Linked DNA regions of Arabidopsis thaliana. The protein of the gene in region 2 interacts with the protein of the main gene of each other region in a pairwise test. Each region holds a gene or a part of one and is shown on either strand. Other genes may lie near its edges.

Region 1 (4,140 bases), on a different chromosome or scaffold from region 2:
TACTCGCATCTTCAGGGGAGGACAGAAGGCTGATGGTCTGGGACCTGAACAGGTATGTATCATCATCATCTACTTTGCAGAATTCAAAAACTTCAACTTTTAAATCTGAAGATTGTTCAACGTTGAGTAATGCTTCTTTTTTGGGGTTTACAGGGTTGGAGAAGAGCAGCTTGAGATAGAGTTGGATGCAGAAGATGGTCCACCAGAGTTACTCTTCTCTCACGGAGGCCACAAGGCTAAGATATCAGACTTTGCTTGGAACAAAAACGAGCCTTGGGTCATTGCAAGTGTAGCTGAAGACAACAGTCTTCAGGTGTGGCAGATGGCAGAAAGCATCTATCGCGATGAAGAGGATGCCGAGGACATCAAAGAAGATATTACACAACAATCATGAAAATTAAGAAACGATTTGGTCTCTCCATTACTTAAAGTGTCTTATCTTGCTTTAGCCAGTTTCTGAAAGACAAGCTTTGCGTCTGTATTAGGATTAACATGAATCATCTCTGTTTGTTAATGTAACCATGTTGGATTTTGTTGGTTTCCTATCATTCCTGTGTCACAAAATTCGACTCTAGAACTCCAAAGCCTGACAAAAGATTCATTGAATAAGGAATTTGGGATAGCATCATTGGCAGTAATTAGTAGTCATCCAGTCAAACTGAGCGTGCAACATATTCTATGTAGACACGATCGTGCAACAATATTCAGGAATCGTTCGTGTCTTGGTTCTTTTTAGCATAGTACTACTCCCCAAGACTCCATAGAGCATCAAGGAAAATATCATACCAAATCGAGAATTGATGCATCGTATAAGTGATTTCAGAAGCACAAGACTGTACCAGACTAACGAAAAGTCGAAAACAACCAAGTTACTAATTGTCGAGATGGCTTCCCATAACTTACTTTTCCAAATGCAACATTCAATCTCTTCTACAAGAACTTCACAACAAAAAAAGAAGCTACTAAAGTACAAAACCAAATAGCAAACTCGATTTGAATATTAACAAGTCTTATTTCTAGCTTCAACGAGCTCAACAAGGAAATGCAAAGAGACTAAAAACCTGATGATAGCACAAATGGACTTGAAGGAAGCTGGTGATGCAGTTGAACTCTACTACTTATTGGAAGAAAATTAACTACCAACTTGAAAATGGGGTGAATGATTGATAGTATCACATGATTGATGATACTTCAAACTGCTTTCGCTGCTCGAGGCTCACCTGTTGCAAGATCAAAAACCTTGAGTTCATAAACAAAATATACACAAACCACAAGTTTAAACAAAAAACGTTCAAGGGAACCTCAGAAATGACACAATTCCAGGATAAGTACAGTGACAATATGGAAGTAACTACGATGAAAACTGTATAAAGATATAGCTATTAAGGACAGCCTCTAGGAAAGAGATCCAAAGGAACTAGAATGTCACCTTTTCTCTTATTAACGCCGGATCCATTGACAGTGAATGTTCCAATTCCATTACTACAAACAGGGATCTCCTTGCCAGCTAAATTCTGATTAGCCAAGCATTCTAGCTGATCAAACTCACAACCATTTAGCCCTTGCTCATTCATCGATGCACCTTCTCCATTATTCCCATTTTGAAGGCAGTACAAGTTATCAACATCACATTGCATATTGCAAGGATGCATCATGTATGAGTAAGGCACGTTTGTAACCGCAGGTTTCTGATAAGGAAACGCACCAATCTCTCCATCAATTCTTCCTCTTATATCAACAAGCAAACACTTGAGCCTAGTAACCTCAGCTTCCAATGCAGCTTGACCTTGCAACCTCTTCAACAGCTGATTATTAACCGCCTTAAGCCTCATAACCTCATCCTCCAACGAAGCCGCTTTAGCCTTCTTCTTCTCCCTATACTTTCTAACCGCTTCTCTATTCCCTAAAGGTCTCTTCTTCCCTGAAGATTCCGATGTATCATCAGTAGAAACTTTGTCAGGAAGAATCTTGGTGTGCACATGGAGACATGTGTGAGTATGTGTGTTCTCTGGTCCCGGAGGATTACAAGTGTGAGTATGAGTACAAGCATGAGAATCTCTCAAAAGCTCATCGAAGAACGAATCCATCGAACAGCTAGGTAATTCACCACCCATGTTTGAATTCGAAAACTCAAGCTCACCGTCGTCCATTACTCAAAACCCAGTAACAAAGAAGTAACCTTTGACTCTTTTGATTGAATCTTAACCAAAAAGTATGAGACTTTGTGATCAAAAACCAAACAACAACCTAATTGCAGAGTGAAAACACAATCCAAGCGATTCAGAACCAATTATCAATAACTAATCATTGGCTGATACTAAATTGAATAGAAAAATCGTACCTTTAAAGGATCAGCAAGACGAAAGCTTGAGGAGAATCGCCATTACGATTGCGAATTTGGGAATTGAGAAACTTATGGGCGAAAACGGCGAGAAGGGTTTAAGAGAGAATTAGAAATGGGAACCCTAGAGATGAAGAGGTGCAATGAACATTGATGATTAACAGATGGCATTATTTCCATGGCGGAAAGAAGACATGGACGTACCAAAAGGAATTTCGAATTGCAGAAGATTCTATTGTTTAATTTCGTATTAAAACTTTTATTTGAGTTTATAGCTCAATTTATAACTCGAATTATATTTTTAAATTTAGTTTTTTTCAACCAAAGTAATTTGCGTTGCTATTTTTTATACCCATTGAAAAATTTCTTTGAATCAATATTCTAACTGAATAATTTTTTTTTCTTTTTTTTTTTGAAGACGCTGAATATTTTTTTTATATAATCAGTTAGATAAAATCATCAAAACATTGTATTTAAAATTAAAATGTATATTAATTTTTTAACCTATAACTTTATTTTTAACTTAATTTTCAATGAAAAATGGTGAATGAAAAAAAAAAGGATGATAAAAAAATGATAGACTAACAAGAGGACAAAATTATGAGGTTGAAATCATTTCAATAGACATGTTTTTATTTTATATTTATTTGTTTTGATTTAAATTGGCCTAAAAAGTTATATAATATCTAATTGTTTGCTCTTAAACTAAATTTTACAAGGATTAATTTCTACTTTATAATGGGGTCAATTTAAAATAATTAATCAAAATTGAACTAGTTTTAAAAATTCCATGGACAAGATAACATCTTGCTGGTAAAAAGGGCCAAAAAAAATCTAATCATAGTCATGGGAAAGAAGAAAGAAGAGAAGAAATGGGAAAGAAGAAAGGAGAGAAGAAATTGGAAAGAGAAGTACAAGAAGAACTAGGACGAGAACCAAAACAGATCAATTATATGGTGAGTTCCGATTATTTATGTATCTTTTTAATTTTTGAGATGAAGAATCCTATATTTATGCAAAAACAGTGTTGGCCTTCAAATTATCTATTGATTGTCAGAACATCCTTCGAGATATAACCAAAAATAAATCAATAAAATAGCTCGAATCCACCCAAAATTGGAATTGAAATTCTCTTTGGTTCCTCAAAATTTGCACAAAATACATCAACAAAGAAGATTCCTCAATATTAGTCAAACATAGGACTAACCTTTCAATATCAAAATAGAAAGAAAAAACTATCAAGTAGAGATTATGGCCGATTTTTGTGGATTGTCACTAAAAATAAATCAACGGATAAGACATGAGGGGACATATTAATTACGATCAATTAAATAACTATTTTAGAAATATTTTTTAAACAATATGTTTGTTTTGCAGATTCCGTGATACAATTTCTTTGTTTTTTTGCCAAAAAATCATAGAAAATATTATACTTTTTCAGTATAAAGTAAAATATATATTTTTACGGGAAGAAGACTCTCTCTAAGGTTTCAAAAAATTTAAGGTATTAATTTTAACTTTAGATTTTGATTCTTTTTTACTTCCTCTAAAAAAATTCTATAGATTCAACCTGTACATCACGGATCTAAATATTATTTGGTTTTTATATTATATATTTTGTTCAAAATGTATAACAACTATTTTGCGCAAATCTAGTATTATTTATTCAATTAAATGCGTCTTGCCATAGTGGTCGTATAATTCGCTCTCTTTAATCCCGCGCATGGTTCGAGACGAAGTTACTACCACTACTTTTTTTTCTCATTTTAATTAGATGGAACCGGTTTAGCTTTCACCGG
Region 2 (6,418 bases):
CGAAGTCCAAGTGAAAGATACATGGCTCCAATCCTCTGTAATATGCAAGAGTTAGGCTCATCATCAATTCCTCGGTTTTAAATTCGTTTAAAGCTAAAATGCCGACTCACAACACAAACAAAAAGGAATAAAATAATGCTTCAGATTATAACCATGAAAAGAAAACAGCCAGAACCATTGTACTTTTGGGTGAACCACTCGGATCAGATTCCAAATCGCTGTTATAGAGAAAGAGATCCCAAACTGACCGTTTACTCTACTCCACAGAGACTCCATAAAATCGAACTGATTGGACCTAGAATATCGAGATATCCACTAGCTTCTCATCGTCAGAGGCCAAGCTTACTCAGTGCGCATCATATAGAGCTCTAAAGGGGAGGAGAGGACCAACACTATTTTCTCCTGGTATTCCTCTAGTCTTGATTTACCCGTAGTACACAAGTGTCAAAGGAACCCAGAGGTGACCAGTTATCATACTCTTAAATAATCCTTCACACAAATGTGAGGCATCTAATAAAGCTAACAGAATAATGAGAAAAAGTATAGTGAAGAAAAGTTTCACGCGATAGGCTTAACGACCAAATTTTCGTCAAGATTCAACGACTTCCACAACAATGTTTTGCTTGCAGCTAAAGAAACAAAGACCCAACGACATCATTGACTAAGTAGAATCATATAATATAGTACGATTTTTCACGACAGAAAGAAAAGTCGACACATTTTAAACTCTACCAACGACCCGACCCAAAACCAAAAGTCTAAAATTAGAAAAAGTCAAAAGGAGAACCACAAAGGCAGGTAGATAGATAAAAAGCAGCTTCCTTTTGATATTCGTCATCATCATCATCCACTTTACTTACAATCCACCTGCACCTTCTTCATGGTCTCTGATGCTTCCTGGAATCTCCTTCGACTTTGGCTGAAGTTAAAACCAAAAAACCTTTGTTGAGCATTTCCGTTTACAAAGTAAACTTATGATCAACAACAATATCTCTACTACTACTATCTTACCTGGTTTTGAAGGGTTGTTATGGTGGACCTTAGCAGATCATCTCCTACAATCACCCGCAGTTTCCTGACAAACTCCGCTCTCGTCATCTTCTTATCCTGCACAACAAATTTCTTATGTATTCCAGCTTATGCAATTACCAATCATAAAGCAAACTCTCAGAATCAGTTTTTTTCTATACCCTCAGTTGTTGGTAGTCAGCATTGATCAACAACATGTCGTTCTCTGCAACCTTATGTGAGATTGCTGCAAACAGAGTAGGAAATGGCATCCATGGAGATTTGGGTCTTGTAGTGCTTGAACCAACACTGTTTGCACTTCCTGAACCTCTTGCTCCCTGCTTTTTAAACACAACAACACCACATATAGTTGTTCAGTCCCTCTTCTTTAATAAGATCATACAAAGAAAAACTGAAGTAACCAAACTCACGTTTGACTCCAATTGAGGAGGAAGATCCTTAGGTCCTTCCAAAGTGACCCCTGAGTTATCACGCTTAGCAATCAAATTACCTGCAGAAACCAGTGTATGTCATCGGACTTCTAATACTACACAAAACATAATTTTGATGGATCGAAATACCCATTAAGGCGTGAGTATCACATCCGACCCCCGGATGATGAATCAGAGACTTGTCTCTTGAAACCCAAATGTGTTATAACACCGGAGGTCGTTAGGTTTATCATTATCACACATGGAACTTTTTTTTCTAAATTTATCAGTTGAGACCTGAGCTTCAGCCAGATCTCTAAGCTGTCTCCCTTTCAATGCGTCATCAGTTGATTTGAATGGGGGAAGATAGAATGTGAGGAACAAAAAAAAGAACAAACTAATCACCTTCAGCATTGGGGAGATTAGACAGCTTGAACCTAACAACAAATTCCGGGAATATATGTGTGTTCATATTGATGTTCCAGACAATGTAATTCTTTGGACTCTCAATGTCATCGACTCCATTGTCATATTCTTCTCCACCAGAAAAGAACTGAGCTTTATCACCACGAAGAAGCTCCATATTCCCCATAATCACACGGCATAAAACCATGTAACGTACTCCGTTTTCGTCAACATCACAGTATCTAGCACTGTAAACAAGTTCATAGTTAGTACTTGACACACAAAGAACCTATTGCAGAGGAAGGTAAAATATACGATCTAAACATGAAAAAAACAGATGAATACGAGGCAAATACCTGAAATAAGGGCAGTCTGCAGCGGTTAAATGGATCCCAACACCATAGATGGACTTTCTGATAAATGCTCCACCAACTCCAAGTCCTTGCATCATCACTGCTGATAAAACTTCCCTCTTTGCAGGAAGCCAGGCATACCTAACGTTTGCATCCCCTCGATGTTTCTTAGTGATCTCAACCTGCTTCTGGAAAAGTGCTAGACGAGCTTCAGCAATCTCACTGGAAAAACGGCCCACATCCAGCACTGGTACATGTCCTAGAGAAGCTGTGCCTACAGCAAACATTTTTTTTACTGCATCTTTATCAAGTACTTCGCTTCCCGTAAGCTTGGCACCAGAGACGACTATAGCATCAGTCTCATCCCATTTCGAAACAGCAGCTTCGAGCTTGCGGCTGCAGCTATCCTCCGTAGCCTCGTCATAGTGCTCATTTGAAGATCGTTGAGCAAGGGGAACATCGTCCATCATATTATCACCAGACTCATCACTGCACTCCTCCAAATTTAACCTCGGTGTCTCGCCACCATTAACATCAATCTCTAGGCGAAGTTTGATATCATGAGGAGCATTCTGTTTTGGGTCTTCCACACATTTATGATGGCAGTAATTGGTCCTTTCATCACTCTCATAAATTTCAGGGAAAAAGCACTTTCCTGCATTGTCAATCCATGCAAGAGGGGTTTTTGCTCCTGTTTCCATGTCTAGTCTTTGCATGTGCAAGAAGTCCAAAATAAAACTGTGACCGCATAACTTGAACTCAATTGCGGCGCTCTTTTCTTCTAATTCATTCTGGATGGCGCATATAACGTGCTCAGGCAAATCATTCCATTCGCCATTCTCATACATCATAACACGTTTAGCGATTCCAGTCTTCTTAAAATAAGTGTAATATCTGACCAGCGCCTTCCCAGAGCGATTCTCGTAAGCGCTAAGCTTGTTTTCACCTTCCAGCCTTCTTCTTTTGTCAGGAATTTGGCACTGCCCGTTCGGTGGGGGCACATTTTGCAGCTTTGCACACGAAACTCCAGTAACATATGCAGCATAGCTTGCTGCGCGCTTCCTCTTTTTTCCGAATCCATCTTCACACCTACTACTATCCAACACCTTGACGATCTTGGCTTCCATTTCTATATATTAACAATACTAAACCTATAACCTTGATAGAAAAAGTCAACTGTGTAACCTCTAAACTCCCTAGCAGTCCTAAAGATAGTGTCTTGCCGACAGCATTAGAAAACACTGCACAAAAGAAATGGAAAAGGCTTAAAATATTGAACAACTATATTACAGAGAATAGAGTCAAACAAAAACTCCTCACAGTTTACATGATAAAGAATCAGTAAACAAGAAAGAATCAGCATAACTATATGAGACCTATGATCCTGTAATATCATTCCTTCACAAAAGACATTTGCTACAATTTCCATCAGTAAGTAACATTATGAACAGTCTTTCATTACTTCTTGTTGTATCTTGTGTTATAAAGAGCACAAAGATCCATTACAAAGACGGAAGGTACAAATCAACCTACATAGGAATGAAGCAATAAGAAATGAACATCACACTCAACAAGAACGATCCTATGAGACACTAAAGATAAACACAGAAACAAACCAACAAAAACAAGTAAACCCAATCACCAACACAGAAAAATGAGAACAATAAACCCAAGCCATGAGCTTGAAACTCACCCAACAGTAACAGTTAGAGTCTGATAGATTACAAGTGTGTTCATCTTCTCCGTCATAAAAATAAACACAATCAGAGAAGAAATGCCACGTCTTTTTATAACAGCCGTCAGCAAGATAAAGTTCCTGCAACATCCAAACCAGCAACTTTTTAGCTTTCAATAAAAATTAAAATTCATCTCTCAAGTCAAAATAGCTCTGTTGCTTCACAAAATCCACAAATCGAACCAAATCAATCGCAGTTTCACTGATTTTCAAAATAAACTAAAATCAGAGACGAAAAAACACAGATCGTAAGCATAATCACACGAATCATCCAAAAACTCAATCAAAACAACACAAAACCACTCAAAATCAAACGAATCTAAGCCGATCTACAATCATCGACTTCAACAAAAAAAAACAATTCAAGATAAAAAAAAAAATCCTCAAATCGCATGAGAAGAATTGAAACAAAACGAAAAGAAACTGAACATGAACATGAACATGACGGACCTCTTTTTTCAGATCGATCGCAGGCAACAAGGGTAATCTAAAAGCAAAAGCTGACCAGAAAAAACGGAGGAAAAGGAGAAGATAAGATTTGCTTATAGAGAAAACCCTAAGCCGGCGATGACGACGAAGAAGAAACAGAATCGAAGAGTCATTTATATATAATCGGCGATATTGGAGAGATGATGAAGAAGAAATTCTTAAGTCGGCGGTTCCTGAGTTTTTTTCCTCTTTCTCTAACCAAAAATTTGCTTGGACGAAAAGCAAATCATGTGGGCTTTATTAAAGCTACAAGTCGGTCAGTCAACGTCGAAATCTTATTGGGTGGTGACTTAATTGAAGAGGCGGTCAATACACGCAGATAGATATGGTCGAATACAATAATGGAATAATATTATCATGAGGAGAACAAAAATATTACAATTAAATGTAACGAGGGCAACAATTATAAAATTGTTGAAATTAGAAAAGTGTGTATTGACGGAACATGATTGATAAGATTGTGAATCGATGAATAGACTAGGGGGGCCATTGGAATGGAGATAGCTATCGACATTGAAAAATATTTTCTTTATTGCGTACAAGGTCTAACAAAGTTTTAGTTGTATTGCAAGTGGCAAATAAAATTTTATTAGTTGAGGATAGTTTAGAAGTTTTTGAAAATATTATTTTACAAAGTTATAAGAATATTTAATCAATTTTTAAAAACTTTCTCCAGAAAAATGTTTGTTAACAAAAAATAATTTTCATTATTTCGATAGCCGTTATTTAAATTTGCCGCGATTATTTTTAATGGTTTTTATTTTTTCTGTTTCATTGCCGCGTTTATTTGTAATGATTTTTATTTTTCCGTTTTTCTATAAACAATACTACAATAGCATAAATTTTGAAGTGATATATGGTTTATAAGGGTAAGAATATTTAATCATTTTCAATACAGATAACTTTCAAAATTAGACATACTAAATGAGATATAAAAAATTCCATTGATATACTTCCAATAATTATCACATTTCTAAACTAGCAAAATTTATTTTATTTTAAAACATAGAAGATACGCATAATAGTCAATGAACTATTGACTTGGAAAAGATATCACCTTGGATATTAAGTCTGGACTTTTTGCGTAGTTTTCTTATAAAAAAACTATCAAAATTAAATTTCTACAATTATTCATTGAAAACACAATCTTTGGAAAAGGCTATAATTTGAAAACAATATTTGGAATTGGCTAATTTGAGGATGGATAAATAACATTTCGATTGGCTTAAGAAAGAACACTAGATCGATATCTCTTGGAGAGAGTTAGAACTCTTTTGATGTCTAGACGGATGAAGAATACTTAGTTGATAAATTGTACCTCGCAATTTTTTTCAACTTTGTTTTATAATGGGCCAGTTTTTATTTTTTGGGCTTTAGACAGCATATTAAGATGGACCGGCCGTGACTACGGGTTTAGTTGGTACCGAAAACGGCTGTCTTCCCAATCTTGTAAGATCTATAAAATTCAAGACTAAACTTTTATCATATACACGTTTGTACTATTCGGTGGAAAACCAAAGGATCTATATATACATGCATTCATGGGAATATTATTCTGTGTATGATATGTCACAGCTATATAGTTTGTGTAGCCATGGCTCATATTGAATAATGAAAATGTCACAACTATATAGTTTGTGTAGCCATGGCTCATATTGAATAATGAATATGTCACAACTATATAGTTTTTATATCTCTTATTTTTCTAGAATTTACCAACCTACGATTAGGCCTGTTACGGATCCGGATATCCGGGTTTTTTGGAGTATCCGGATCCGTATCCGTATCCGGCGGATATGTAGTTTTAGGATCCGCATCCGGATCCGTAAACCTCGGATATCCGGATTTCGAATATCCGTGAAAAAACTGGATATCCGCGGATATTCGGGATCCGTTTATTTTTGGGAACAAATTCAATTTCCTATTTCACCAACCAGATTGAATTCACCACCAAAAGAGATCGACGTGTGCCCGACATCAGACTTTGCAAGGCACAT
Region 3 (4,605 bases), on a different chromosome or scaffold from region 2:
CTTGCGGAGAAGAGGACACATTGTCAAAGGGAACTTGTGGAGGTGCAATACCCACCAATTCATTGGATTTAATTAATTAACAGTTTGCCAACTTGATTTCTTCATTTTTCTAAAGGCTTAGAAGATCTTCAAGATTCGAGCAAGAAAAACGATTTTGGAGACCAGAATGGAATAGTTAAAGCCTTTTAAATAATATACAACTATGTCCCATTTGCACTTTCAAATACCCAATTTGCCTTTTGTAGAAAATACAGATAGATAACTCTCTAATGATAACTTTATTATTCATACCTCATTGCTTATGTAATCTCAGACAACCTGAGGAAAGTCTGCAGACCAAAAAACTCCACTACTGGATATTTCCATTAAACTAAGCCAAGTTTCTTGAATAATCAAAACTTGCCAAGTCAATAAAACCACTACGCAACATCGCATTATTCCATCTCCATTCTTAAGGATGAAAATTAGATGTGAGAGTATCCAAAGTTCAAAGATCAAAACTTTATAGCTTATATGCATCCGAAGTTCAAAACTTTGATATGTACCGAATGTTATAAACTTTTTCTAAACCCAACGTTTGAACTTCTTCATATGTCATATGTATTCACAAGAAAAAGAAAGAAGGAATCATATTTGAACTTGTCCTACATTACCTAACTACATGTACTACGTCTCACAACCATTAATATCAGAAAGTATCAGTAGCTTCAAAGAAGGGCAGCTTCTAGCTAGTAACAGCTACACCGTCTCGGAGCAGAATCACAAACTTAGGCCAGTCAAACGAAATTTGAAATCTTATGTAGATCCATGAACATCTTTGTCTCCTCCAAAATCCAAGTCCTGTATGTCAAGATCATTGAACCTGCGATGGTCTAAATCAATACCATAGTTCTCCATATCACTGGGCTGCACATAAGGACATCCATAATCAACTCCTGGTTGAGCAATCTCCATAGGGTTGAGGCTCCCGAGCAAGTTAGAATTTGGAAACTGCGTTTGGTAACTGAAATTTGGGTGTCTATCCACTTGATACTGCATTGTCTCTTGACCAGACACATTGTTGTCGTTTAATATACCCAATAGCTCATTAATATCAAACGTTTCATCCACACCAAACTCCAATGGTTCTTGTTCATTGCCATTTCCCATCAACCAAGCATCCAAAGTCTCCCTTTTCGAGTCCTGTCCAATTCCAAAACCAACAGCCAAGTTATGTTCTTCCCTCACTTCCTCTTTTCCTTTCAGCTCCTCTTTAATACACTGAGAACTATCTAAGAGAACATATTCATCGCTACAATCCTCTAGTTTCACCTGACCAAAACCTGAACTTGCATTTGTATCCTCACGTGCACAAACTTCAGATTCATCAGAAAATGCAGTAACCGAGCCTGACACAGTGGCAGTGGCAGCAGTCGAAGAAGAGCGATTTGTGATCTCGGGAAGATTGAGTCTGGCAGACTGACCATATATAGCTTTGGCCGCCTCGTCATAAGCCAATGCAGCTTCATATGAACTGGAGAAAGTACCGAGCCACAACCTAGCACCTCCGTCTGGCTCACGGATCTCAGCAACCCATTTACCCCATCTCCTCTGTCTAACTCCTCTATAGTCACAAATCCCGTTTTCAGGTCCACCTTTACCTTTCATACAACCCTTCCTCGAACCTTTTGGAGGAGGCTTTCGGATTGATTTTGGACCACCACCATCGATACAAGATTCTGCCTCAATCTGCTCATTGTACTCTCTCCATTGCCTTAGAATCTCAGCTACATCTCGTGTTCCACGAGACTTCCTTTTCCTGGTAGAATCAAAGGGGATAGAAGCAAGATTAGCAACATGCTCGAGAACTCCAATTTTCTCTCTTCACAAAATTTCAAGCAACAGGTTCAACTATACTTCGGATCAAAGCACCTTTCAAAGAAACAATTTTTAACCACCTGAACGTAATTACACCGAAGTAGCTACAAGAAGAAGTTTTCATAATCTGCAGCATCACAGCGAGCAAGAAAGAAACTCCATCACGAACAGATTAAGAAACTAGAACAGAGCAAACTCAGAAACAGAGAATCACCTAAAGATTCAACATAGAATCCATAATCTAACTTCTGTATCAGGAAAGGTACCACCTTTAACGATTATTTTAGCTAAAAATCCTCTAATTTCCAAGTCTCTTAACCACACACGAACTAGAATCCACAAATCGCACAGAACTCAATCCAAAAGAGACAAATTGTGCCCCAAATTAACAAATTTCAGTCAACAAAAAACCCCAAAAACCCTAAAATTGAAAAACCTTTCAGCTTCCACCTATTACACAAACAAAGGAACTTGGAGGATATACACACAAAACAACAAAAATCGATAAAAAGAAAATCTTAAACCCTAACAATGAACAATCACATTTAGCAAACATACAGAAGAGAGGAAAAAAAACGGAGAAAAATCGAAAAATGTAACAAACAAACCTGTCAACAATCTCCGACGGCATGTAAGAAAGCACTCGAACAAAGTAGCAGCTGAAGAAGAAGAACACAAAGGATTCAATGTAATAATAGTAGTAGTAGTAGTAGCAAAGACGATAGCTTTTGTTTTCTCGTTAGCAGAGAAGAGAAAGGTTTGGGATTGTGAAAGGAGAAGCCTTTATATATAGACAAGTCTTAATTAGATATTTCAGATATTTAGGTGATGACGTGGCGTTCGAACTTACCAGATTCTGATTTGCGGCTGGATCCAGAGTCCTTTCCTTTTTGCTTTGGGCCTAAGTTATTTCTGATTATGCTTTTTGACTATTTTACCCTCAAAGCTTCTTTGTAATTTCCGCTTATGATCCCTTTTACTATAGCTGAATACGTCATTTACTCATTTTCGTTGACTAGTCAAAAATCAAGTCTTCTTCCACACGAAGCTATGGGCTAAGTATGGATTATTGTTTTATATTTTTTGTAAACTTTATTATTGATATGAATAAATTTAGAGAAAAATATTAATGTTTTATATGTGTTTTGGTTTCGTGGATTACCCTTAAGAGCCTATTATGCTTCTTTTCGCGAGTATATAACACATTGTGTTAGACAAGTTCAAATTGTGAATGAGACTATGAGTGAATTTGTCGTTAAATAAAGGAGACCAGCCTTCGTGGAGAATTTCTATTTTTCCTACGAAGTGACAATCCATTTTCTCTTTGTCTAGTCAAGGATCCATCATTCATTGTAATATGAACGTTAAGAAACTGTCACATACATATGGAATCAAATCCATATTTGGATTTAAGCCGACTAGTAACGCCCCAACTTAACCAATGCAGTTATTGGACTTAACATTTTGGAAATGCGAGAAGTTAGAGATCTCAACAAATAAAGGCGATCATTACAAAACTTAAACCTAGAAAGAGGATAATTTTGGAGTGATGGTGACGTAGAGGATGATCGCCAGTTTCTTATCATTTCAAATGCTTGATAGAATACATCTCCTCATAGATTGAGAGATAGAGAATATAATATTTTGTAGTGGTGGTGATGAGGAGGAGGAGGATTGAGTGTTATGAGAGTTTCAGACCACTCTTGGTGACAATCTAAAGATCTTCCTTTGTTTACTTTCTTGCATTTCAATAAAGCTCCATATGAGCTATCTCATTTTCAATCTACAACTTAAGACCTCACAATAGTCAACTACGATTAACAATACACTAGAACTATCTAGGAGAACATATTCATCAATACAATCCTCTAGTCTGACCTGACCAAAACCAGATCTTGCATTTGTATCCTCACGTGCACAAACTTCAGATTCATCAGAAAATGCAGTAACCGAGCCTGACACAGTGGCAGCAGTGGAAGATTGAGTCGGGCAGACTGACCGTAAATAGCTTTGGAAGCCTCATCATAAGCCAATGCAGCTTCATATGAACTAGAGAAAGTACCGAGCCATAACTTAGCACCTCGGCCTGGCTCACGGATCTCAGCAACCCATTTACCCCATGTCCTCTGTCTAACTCCTGTATAGTCACAAATCCCATTTTCAGGTCCACCTTTACCTTTCATACAACCCTTCCTCGAACGTTTTGGAGGAGCCTTTCGGATTGGTTTTGAACCACCACCATCGATGCAAGAATCTGCCTCGGTCTGCTCATTGTACTCTCTCCATTTCCTTAGAATCTCAGCTACATCTCGTGTTCCACGAGACTTCCGTTTCCTGGGCATAGAAGCAAGATTAGCAACATGCTCGTGAACTATTGGGCACAGAAGCAAGTCCCATTTTTTCTCTTAACAAGATTTAAAGCAACATGTTCAACTATACTTGGGATCAAAGCACCTTCAAAGAAACAATTTTTAAGCATCACAGAATCTACCAACACCGAAGTAGCTACAAGAATTTTTCACAATCTGCAGCATCACAGCGAATAAAAAGAAACCCCATCACGACCACAATTAGAACAGAGCAAACTCAGGAAAGGTACCACATTTAACGTTTATTCCAGCTAAAGATCCTCTAATTTCCAAGTCTCTTAACCCCACACGAACTCGAAGCCACAAATCGCACAGAACGTAATCCAAAAGAGACAAATTGTGCCCAAAATTAACAAATTTCTGTCTACGAAAAACCCCA
Region 4 (6,762 bases), 4.8 Mb from region 2:
TGTCTAAGTAAATGAATTGTGATATAGGTCAGAATTAGATGTAATAGTGTGTAGGTGTTGAATACGTGAACATGTGATGCCCTATTAAACCAAACAGTAGCTAAACTGTCAAAACATTGATTATCAGTAAATGATCGCTAATTGCTTTAAAAGGTATATTCCCACAATGAGGATCGTTGCACTAACCCCAATTAATCGATCGGAGTGTTCATCACTGAGACATTCTTTCTTGATTTCTTTTGTTTTTGCCGGCCTTCAAACAAGCATTTCGTATGAAATTACTAGAAAAATGTTGGCGTTATTCTCAACCCACGGGATGTGATTTCACAAGAAATTCTATATACACCTTCAAACAAGTAGCATATGAGACGGTGTAAGTGGGCTGGGCTAAGCCCAAAGTTGAGATTTCATTAAACCTTGAAACCTGATTGGCTTTGTTTACAGAACACAGAACTTGTAGTTTCAGTTTTTAAAGATAGGGGAAAAGATATTAAATTGAGATGTTTTTAAGAAACCTTAGATTAAAAAATAACGCACACCAATGAGAAAACGAGATTTGGTAGCTTGACATTTACACGCCGCGGAATTCAACACCAAATTGTTGTCAGTACAGAAATAAAGAAAGAAAGTAAGAAAAAACCTAAGTTAAAATAACATTCCCACATAGTAAAAAATTAAAAACAAAACCCATATAATATAGTAGCAATAGATACGATATACAACATAGTTAGATTTATACTTTTTTTAATTCTTTTTATTTATTTTTACTTTGCTTTAGTGGAGAAGAACCTGCTGAATCCTCTAGAGTGTTTCTCAGGAGTAAGTCCTGATGAGGACGATGACGAGTTCGACTTCGTGTGTCTATGTTTCGACGCGACCGGAGATTTCATTGTATTCATCGATGGTGTATCCTTGTCTGAAGGCGAACTCAATTTGCTGTCTTGAGGATTTGTGGAAGTTGCGTATTCCTCTTCTTCAGGGTTTAGGGCTTGTTGTTCTTGGCTTGGAGAAGAAGCAACCTGTTCTGTTTGAGGACACATGGATTTGAGTTGCTTCCCGAGAAGTAATATAGTCTCTTGACACTCTGCTAGCTTCTCTGCAGCAGCCGCTAGTTCATTGTCCTGTGTAAAAACATTCAATGTCATGAATTATAAATTTAAAAAACCGAAATCTCTGTTAGGTAAGGTAATAAATTGGTATCTTTGGAAAATTTACCTGTTTGCTTTTAGGATCATCTTCGATTACTGAACAATTCGGGCAGTTTTGGTTGTTCCTGATGTTTTGTAGAAAAGTGAAGTTAGAGATTTTTAGAGACTCTACATTGAAAAAGAGAGTAATGATTAGTTTGCTGTTACCTTTGTAATTGCTCCTCGAGTTCTTGGCATTTGGCTAAAGCTTCTCGATGATTTTCCTTCTCGTCGTGAAGCTCATCTTCTAAGTTTTCGATCTTGCCTTTAAGAGAAGTCAACTCGATTTCCAGCTCCGATGATCTAGTTTCAAGAGATCTATATGATTCCACCATGCATTTGAGTTGAGTCTCGCCCATGCCATTAGACTTCTGAGCAGATTCCAAGTCTGATTTGACTTCAGCAAGAAGTTTCTCTGTTTCTTGTAGTTTGGTCTTAGTTGCTTCAAGATCTGCTTCACAGCTTGCAAGGTTGCTCTCTGCTTTTTCTTTCTCGAGTTTCAAACCTTCAAACTCCTCTGTTGTAAATTTACAAGTTGCAAGCTTTGGTTCATAGCCAGATGTTCCGTTGCAATCATCCGGAATCTCAGAATCTGAGCTCTGAGAACAACCATTCTGGTAATGTTCACCTGATGAATCTTTCTGAAGTGCTTTGTTTTCCGGTAGAGCGACTTTATCAATGCAATCCGGGCTGTGAATCTCTACTGTGGATGTGTGGAACCCTAGCACATCGATCTTTAGCTCACTAGCTTCGACTAAAACTCGCGAAAGATCAAACAGAAAATCGACCAATGTCTTTTCCTTGCCCAAGACTCCCTCGAATGTGGTAGAGAATTCTTGAACTTTTTGGGAGAAAGTTCTGTTCTCAGAACACGCCGTTGCTTCCTTTGAAAGATAGGTAACAAACTGGTATATCTGAGAAAGAGCATCAGACAATTCTTGTGTTATTACCTCGACAATGGTAACTTTTTCCTCTGTAGTCTCATTTGACATGGCTATCACCTTTTCTTCTGTAAGACCGTTCAAATTAGCTCCATGACTCTTAGAAGGCAGCTTAACACCTGCATCTTTAACTGCACATTGTATCTCTGCCAAAATCTTCTCAAATGCAGCATCTTTAGGGAGAGACTGAAGCACATTGGAGATTCTTTTCTTCAGTTGAGTCGCTGGTGGAATCTCAGCATCGGAATCAGCACTTGAGTGATCCGTCGAACCATTTGCGTTTGAGCCATTTGGTAGACAAGCTAGCTTTTCCATTTCAAGAAAATCATCCATCAGCTCCAACTGGTTAGCACTCTCGGTCTTCTTGATCTTCGCGTTGGCTTTATCCTTGTTAGATTGAGAGAGTTCAGACATCAAAGAGCCAGCAACGCTTCTAGCATCTTCGTTTCCATCCTCAGACATTGAAGCCATACTAGGAGGATTACTAGCATTTTGACGAGAAAAGATTTCAGCTGGCATTTCAAAACCTCTCTTGGTTGGACTTTTACTCATCATTTGAGCTTCCAAGGTTTGTAGCCTATTAGCTGTCTTAGCACAGAGATTTCTCGACACTTGAAGCTCGCTGTTACGCTTAGCCAAAGCTTCTTTAAGCATCTTTGTTTCTTCTTCCATAGCAAGTAGCCTCTCAGTAAGCAAATCGTTTTCTTTATGGAACTTTTGCATATTGTCAAGTGAGAACTCAGAAACCTGAGACATGTGTGACATTGGAGACATAAGAGGACTAGATGGTCTAACCGGTGACCTTCTTTGTCGATGATCTTGACGATGATCTCCAAATCCTAAACTCTCAACCTCCATTTTCATCTGTGCAAGTGCTGCAGGACCAGGAAGTTTCTTTCTCACAAGAGTTCGTAATCTTTGACACTCAGCTTCCAACTTTGCAATCTTCTTGACACCTTCCAAATGCTGCTTATTCGCCGCTTCCGCAGATCTCATACTCATATTCTTTTCCTCGTTACGGATCTCCAACTCTTTGGTAATCACATGAGTTTCATACTTGAGAGTATTTATCTCCCTTTCACAAGACTCTATATTGTTCTTAAGATGCTCAATCTCAGACTCTGCTTGAGACTTCTCCTCACTTATCCTCATTAGCATGTTAGACCTCTCTTGCAACGATCTCGAAAGCGCGTCATTCTCAGCACCACACCGAAGCAGTTCTTCCTCGTATTCCCCAATCCTAGACTCAAACTCAGCTCTAAGATTGTCCATTTGGTTGGTTTTAGTAGCGATAACATCATGCAGCTTCTGTTCATTCTCTTCCTTTAAACTCCTTATTTGTCTCATACACTCCTTTAACGCTCCATCTAAATGCGCTGCTCGATCTTCGACAGTGAGCTTTGCGAGAGTAATGGTTTCGAGATGTGTTTTCAAAGCTGATGCTTCTGCTTCAGCTTTTTCCCAACCTGAATCAAAACCAAACATAAATCAAAAACATGTGACTCAAAAGAAAAAACACAGAAATGCATGCAAATTTTATTACCTGTGACAGCTTCTTCAGCAACTTTGGAGTGTTGTTTGACTAAAACCTCCTTTGCTACAATATCTGCATTAGCTGTTGATAGCTTCAAATCCAAATCTTTGATCTGATCCTCAAGCTTTGTAACTTTTTCTTCGTAGCTCTTGACTTCATCTTTTAAACCATTTAGATTCGTGTATTGATCAAATGAGATCTGGATATAACTCGGCTTCTTCCCATTTTCCTGTTTTTTTTTTTTTGTGAAGGAATCAAAACATAAATCTTAGAATTAAATGAAACAAATCTGAGAAATTTAAAGAGTGATTGATTAGTGATCAAAGTACCTGATCAACAACTTCTGTGACAGTAGCTGTTTTCTCAGAGGATTTCTTCTTCCATGGCCAACTCTTACGATCCATCTTCATAATCAACAAACAATTCAACATTTTCAGAAAACAAAAACATAAAAATTAAACCAAATATATACAATTTTGGGATTTCGGAAAAATAATTAAGAACTTTCCGAAACGAAGTGGTGAAGTCAAATCAGAAAGCAAATGCCAGAAAGTAAAAAATAATCAGAGATGCAGAGGCAAAAGACTACCGACGATCGCAATCGACTAGAAAATTTCTGATTTCGATGAACTGTGAACACTTGTAAATGAAAAGAAGAGAGGAATCAAACTAGTAAAGGAATACCTCCAAAAATCAAGTAAAATGGAGACAAAAGCCATTACTAGAATCAGTAACTTCAGGATATAAAGCCAAACAAATGGCAGACGAAGAAAAAAATACCTCGAAAACCAAATCACCGACGCTTTTTTCTCAACAGTCAAATCACAAAACCAAAAGTCACCGACGCCGATTCCTCTTTTTTTTTTTTTTTTGTAAATGAACTAATAACAGAGCATGATATATACAGTTCTCCGATTTCGAAGCATAATTCCGAAGAAATGTAGAATCGAAAGGAGGAGAGTATATATGGAGAGAGAAAAAAACTCACCGGAAAAATCCAAAATGCAGCAGTGAAACAGAATCTTCCCGAAAGCAAGAGAGCTTAGTGGAACAGATTTGAAAACAGAGAGAATCAAAAACTCTCTGTTTCTAGATACAGAGAAAGAGAGAGAAGAAGAAGAAGAAGAAGAAGAGTGGTGGGTTATGGTGTGATAGTGGCGGTGATGGTGATGTTGATGGTGAAAATAATCTATCTATCTATCTAATGCCTTCTGTATCACTTCAAAGCCTAAAACGTAGCAGAGGCTCTCCTTTAAACTAATCGTTACCTTCACTTTCTCTTCTTTTTTTTTTTTTTTTATTCTCCTTCTATTTATTTACCCTCCTTAATAATCTTTTAATAATTCAATTTAGTTGAATTCTATATAGTATTATTTAGATATTTGGCCTGTTGATTAATAGTAATAATTCTGGTTTTAAGTCGGAAACAAATAAAAATACTAAATCCGTATACACAGTAGCCCTATTTTTGTTAAAGGGAATGAATAGATAGGCTTTTTCCTAAAATTTCTTATCACGATGATAGCCAAACAATGACATGTATCACATGTGCTTCCTTTTTATACAATCCCTATTAATAGAAGACCTGAACAAAATAAACCTAAGCCATTGACGTTTTCGAGACTTTCAATCTTTGATTTCTGAAAAGCGTTTATTGTATTTACCGTTGCATGCGATACTTAAATAAACAGTATTATACTTAGACGTATTTGTTACTGAACATTTTGTAATTGTAAGAGAAATAAATTTAGCTTACCTCATACAAACATTGTATATGTGATCATTTTGAAAAGAAAAAAAAACGTTTTTGACTGTTTTATGATTATCTTTTCTGTTTTTACATCGTGATCATACTGTTTACTCCACTACAACTATATGAAGCATGGAATAGTATTTAATAAAATCTTCCTTTTATATAAATTAAAATAAATGGGACAGATTGTATTTAGTACAGAAGGTTTATGTTGATGATAATGCACTTCATTAAACTGAGATTTTGCTGGAAGATAATATACATAAATTAAATGTTCATTAAATGTGTTCTCCTAACAAATAATTCTTCGCGTTTTTTTTTGTTTATATCAAGAAATTTGACTGGTTTTCTTTTAATTACTTTGACTGATGAATGATGATTAGTATTACATCGAGAATGATTAGGATGAAACCTGAGTGTTTTAATACTGTAGTAAGTAAATTTCGAAATAATATGTAGAAAAATGATTATGGTAAGTGACTAAATGGACTAAATATGGGAAACGGAGCAACCGACGATATTAATTTGAAGCGTTTGTTTTCCACTCGTTTAATTAAACCTTATCTCAAACTTAACGGAAATTAAAAAGGACGATCATTTCTTGTTTTTGTTACCTCCCAAAAATAGATAATAAATACAAATCTGAGTTTTGGTCATATGCTACGAACAACCAAAAATGCATGAAAATGTTTACATAATTATTAAATTCATTCAGCCGATGGTCCTAACTTCTTACAATTGCATTCATATAGTTTTAGAGACAAGCCAGCGAACAAAAGTTTGTACACTACAGTCTGTAAATAGCAATTCCACGGACCAAAAGTAAAGAGAAAAAAAAAACTATATGACTTTTCAATTTTAATTAAAATTTAGGAAAAAAATTGAGAACCCAAAACTGATATAACGACTTATTTTCATTATAAAAATCAGATATTGTTTTTCCTATATAGCGACTTATTTTCAATTATAAAAGCAGACATTATTTCTCGTTTTAAAGAACGAGACGTGAAGAGTAAAGTCTAAACGAATATGATTATTGAGGTCATTTTCTTAATTAAAATATGATCAAATAGCTTCGACTTTACATAATAATCATAAATATTTGCATTAGGTATATCATCTAATATGTCTACTGTCTACCTACACATTTTATCCACTTTTTTAATTAGATTAAACAACTTGTGATTTAATTGAAATAATGGTGCTCACCACCCAAATTAAATTCAGGAAATATTTTATAATTAAAACATAAATTGTTTCAATCAGTTTTTGATTGTTTTATCTCGAAATTTTTGTGAATATAATTCAGCTTTTAGAATTAATATTAATAGAGAGGAAAAATAAAGT

The links.
Region 1: the proteins of RCD1 (region 2) and bZIP23 interact in a two-hybrid assay, tested with the Arabidopsis thaliana proteins (one study listed by BioGRID).
Region 3: the proteins of RCD1 (region 2) and DREB2C interact in a two-hybrid assay, tested with the Arabidopsis thaliana proteins (2 studies listed by BioGRID).
Region 4: the proteins of RCD1 (region 2) and AT1G19835 interact in a two-hybrid assay, tested with the Arabidopsis thaliana proteins (one study listed by BioGRID).

Annotation. Positions count from the first base shown.
Region 1 is NC_003071.7:7,277,869-7,282,008, reverse strand, and holds bZIP23 (Basic-leucine zipper (bZIP) transcription factor family protein), read right to left. Parts: upstream 2,579-4,140; 5' UTR 2,342-2,578; intron 2,248-2,341; 5' UTR 2,151-2,247; coding exon 1,430-2,150; intron 1,221-1,429; coding exon 1,192-1,220; 3' UTR 1,062-1,191; exon of another isoform or gene 844-1,061; intron 636-843; exon of another isoform or gene 587-635; 3' UTR 510-586; downstream 1-509. Other genes in the region: MSI2 (Transducin family protein / WD-40 repeat family protein), read left to right, coding at 1-52, 154-394. UniProt on the Arabidopsis thaliana protein: Transcription factor involved in the response to zinc ion deficiency. Binds to the consensus sequence 5'-[AG]TGTCGACA[CT]-3' also called zinc deficiency response element (ZDRE).
Region 2 is NC_003070.9:11,610,333-11,616,750, reverse strand, and holds RCD1 (WWE protein-protein interaction domain protein family), read right to left. Parts: upstream 4,634-6,418; 5' UTR 4,383-4,633; intron 4,014-4,382; 5' UTR 3,891-4,013; exon of another isoform or gene 3,439-3,890; 5' UTR 3,325-3,438; coding exon 2,201-3,324; intron 2,093-2,200; coding exon 1,845-2,092; intron 1,520-1,844; coding exon 1,440-1,519; intron 1,350-1,439; coding exon 1,191-1,349; intron 1,108-1,190; coding exon 1,012-1,107; coding exon of another isoform or gene 1,003-1,011; exon of another isoform or gene 920-1,002; coding exon 857-919; 3' UTR 533-856; downstream 1-532. UniProt on the Arabidopsis thaliana protein: Inactive ADP-ribosyltransferase that functions with SRO1 to regulate oxidative stress, hormonal and developmental responses. Required for embryogenesis, vegetative and reproductive development, and abiotic stress responses.
Region 3 is NC_003071.7:16,847,870-16,852,474, forward strand, and holds DREB2C (Integrase-type DNA-binding superfamily protein), read right to left. Parts: upstream 2,619-4,605; 5' UTR 2,489-2,618; coding exon of another isoform or gene 2,466-2,488; exon of another isoform or gene 1,985-2,465; 5' UTR 1,982-1,984; coding exon 1,938-1,981; exon of another isoform or gene 1,799-1,937; coding exon 796-1,798; 3' UTR 520-795; downstream 1-519. Other genes in the region: AT2G40350 (Integrase-type DNA-binding superfamily protein), read right to left, coding at 3,726-4,191. UniProt on the Arabidopsis thaliana protein: Transcriptional activator that binds specifically to the DNA sequence 5'-[AG]CCGAC-3'. Binding to the C-repeat/DRE element mediates high salinity- and abscisic acid-inducible transcription.
Region 4 is NC_003070.9:6,855,448-6,862,209, forward strand, and holds AT1G19835 (filament-like protein (DUF869)), read right to left. Parts: upstream 5,117-6,762; 5' UTR 4,937-5,116; intron 4,930-4,936; exon of another isoform or gene 4,752-4,929; 5' UTR 4,252-4,751; intron 4,067-4,251; coding exon 3,992-4,066; intron 3,892-3,991; coding exon 3,672-3,891; intron 3,595-3,671; coding exon 1,356-3,594; intron 1,274-1,355; coding exon 1,216-1,273; intron 1,122-1,215; coding exon 765-1,121; 3' UTR 505-764; downstream 1-504.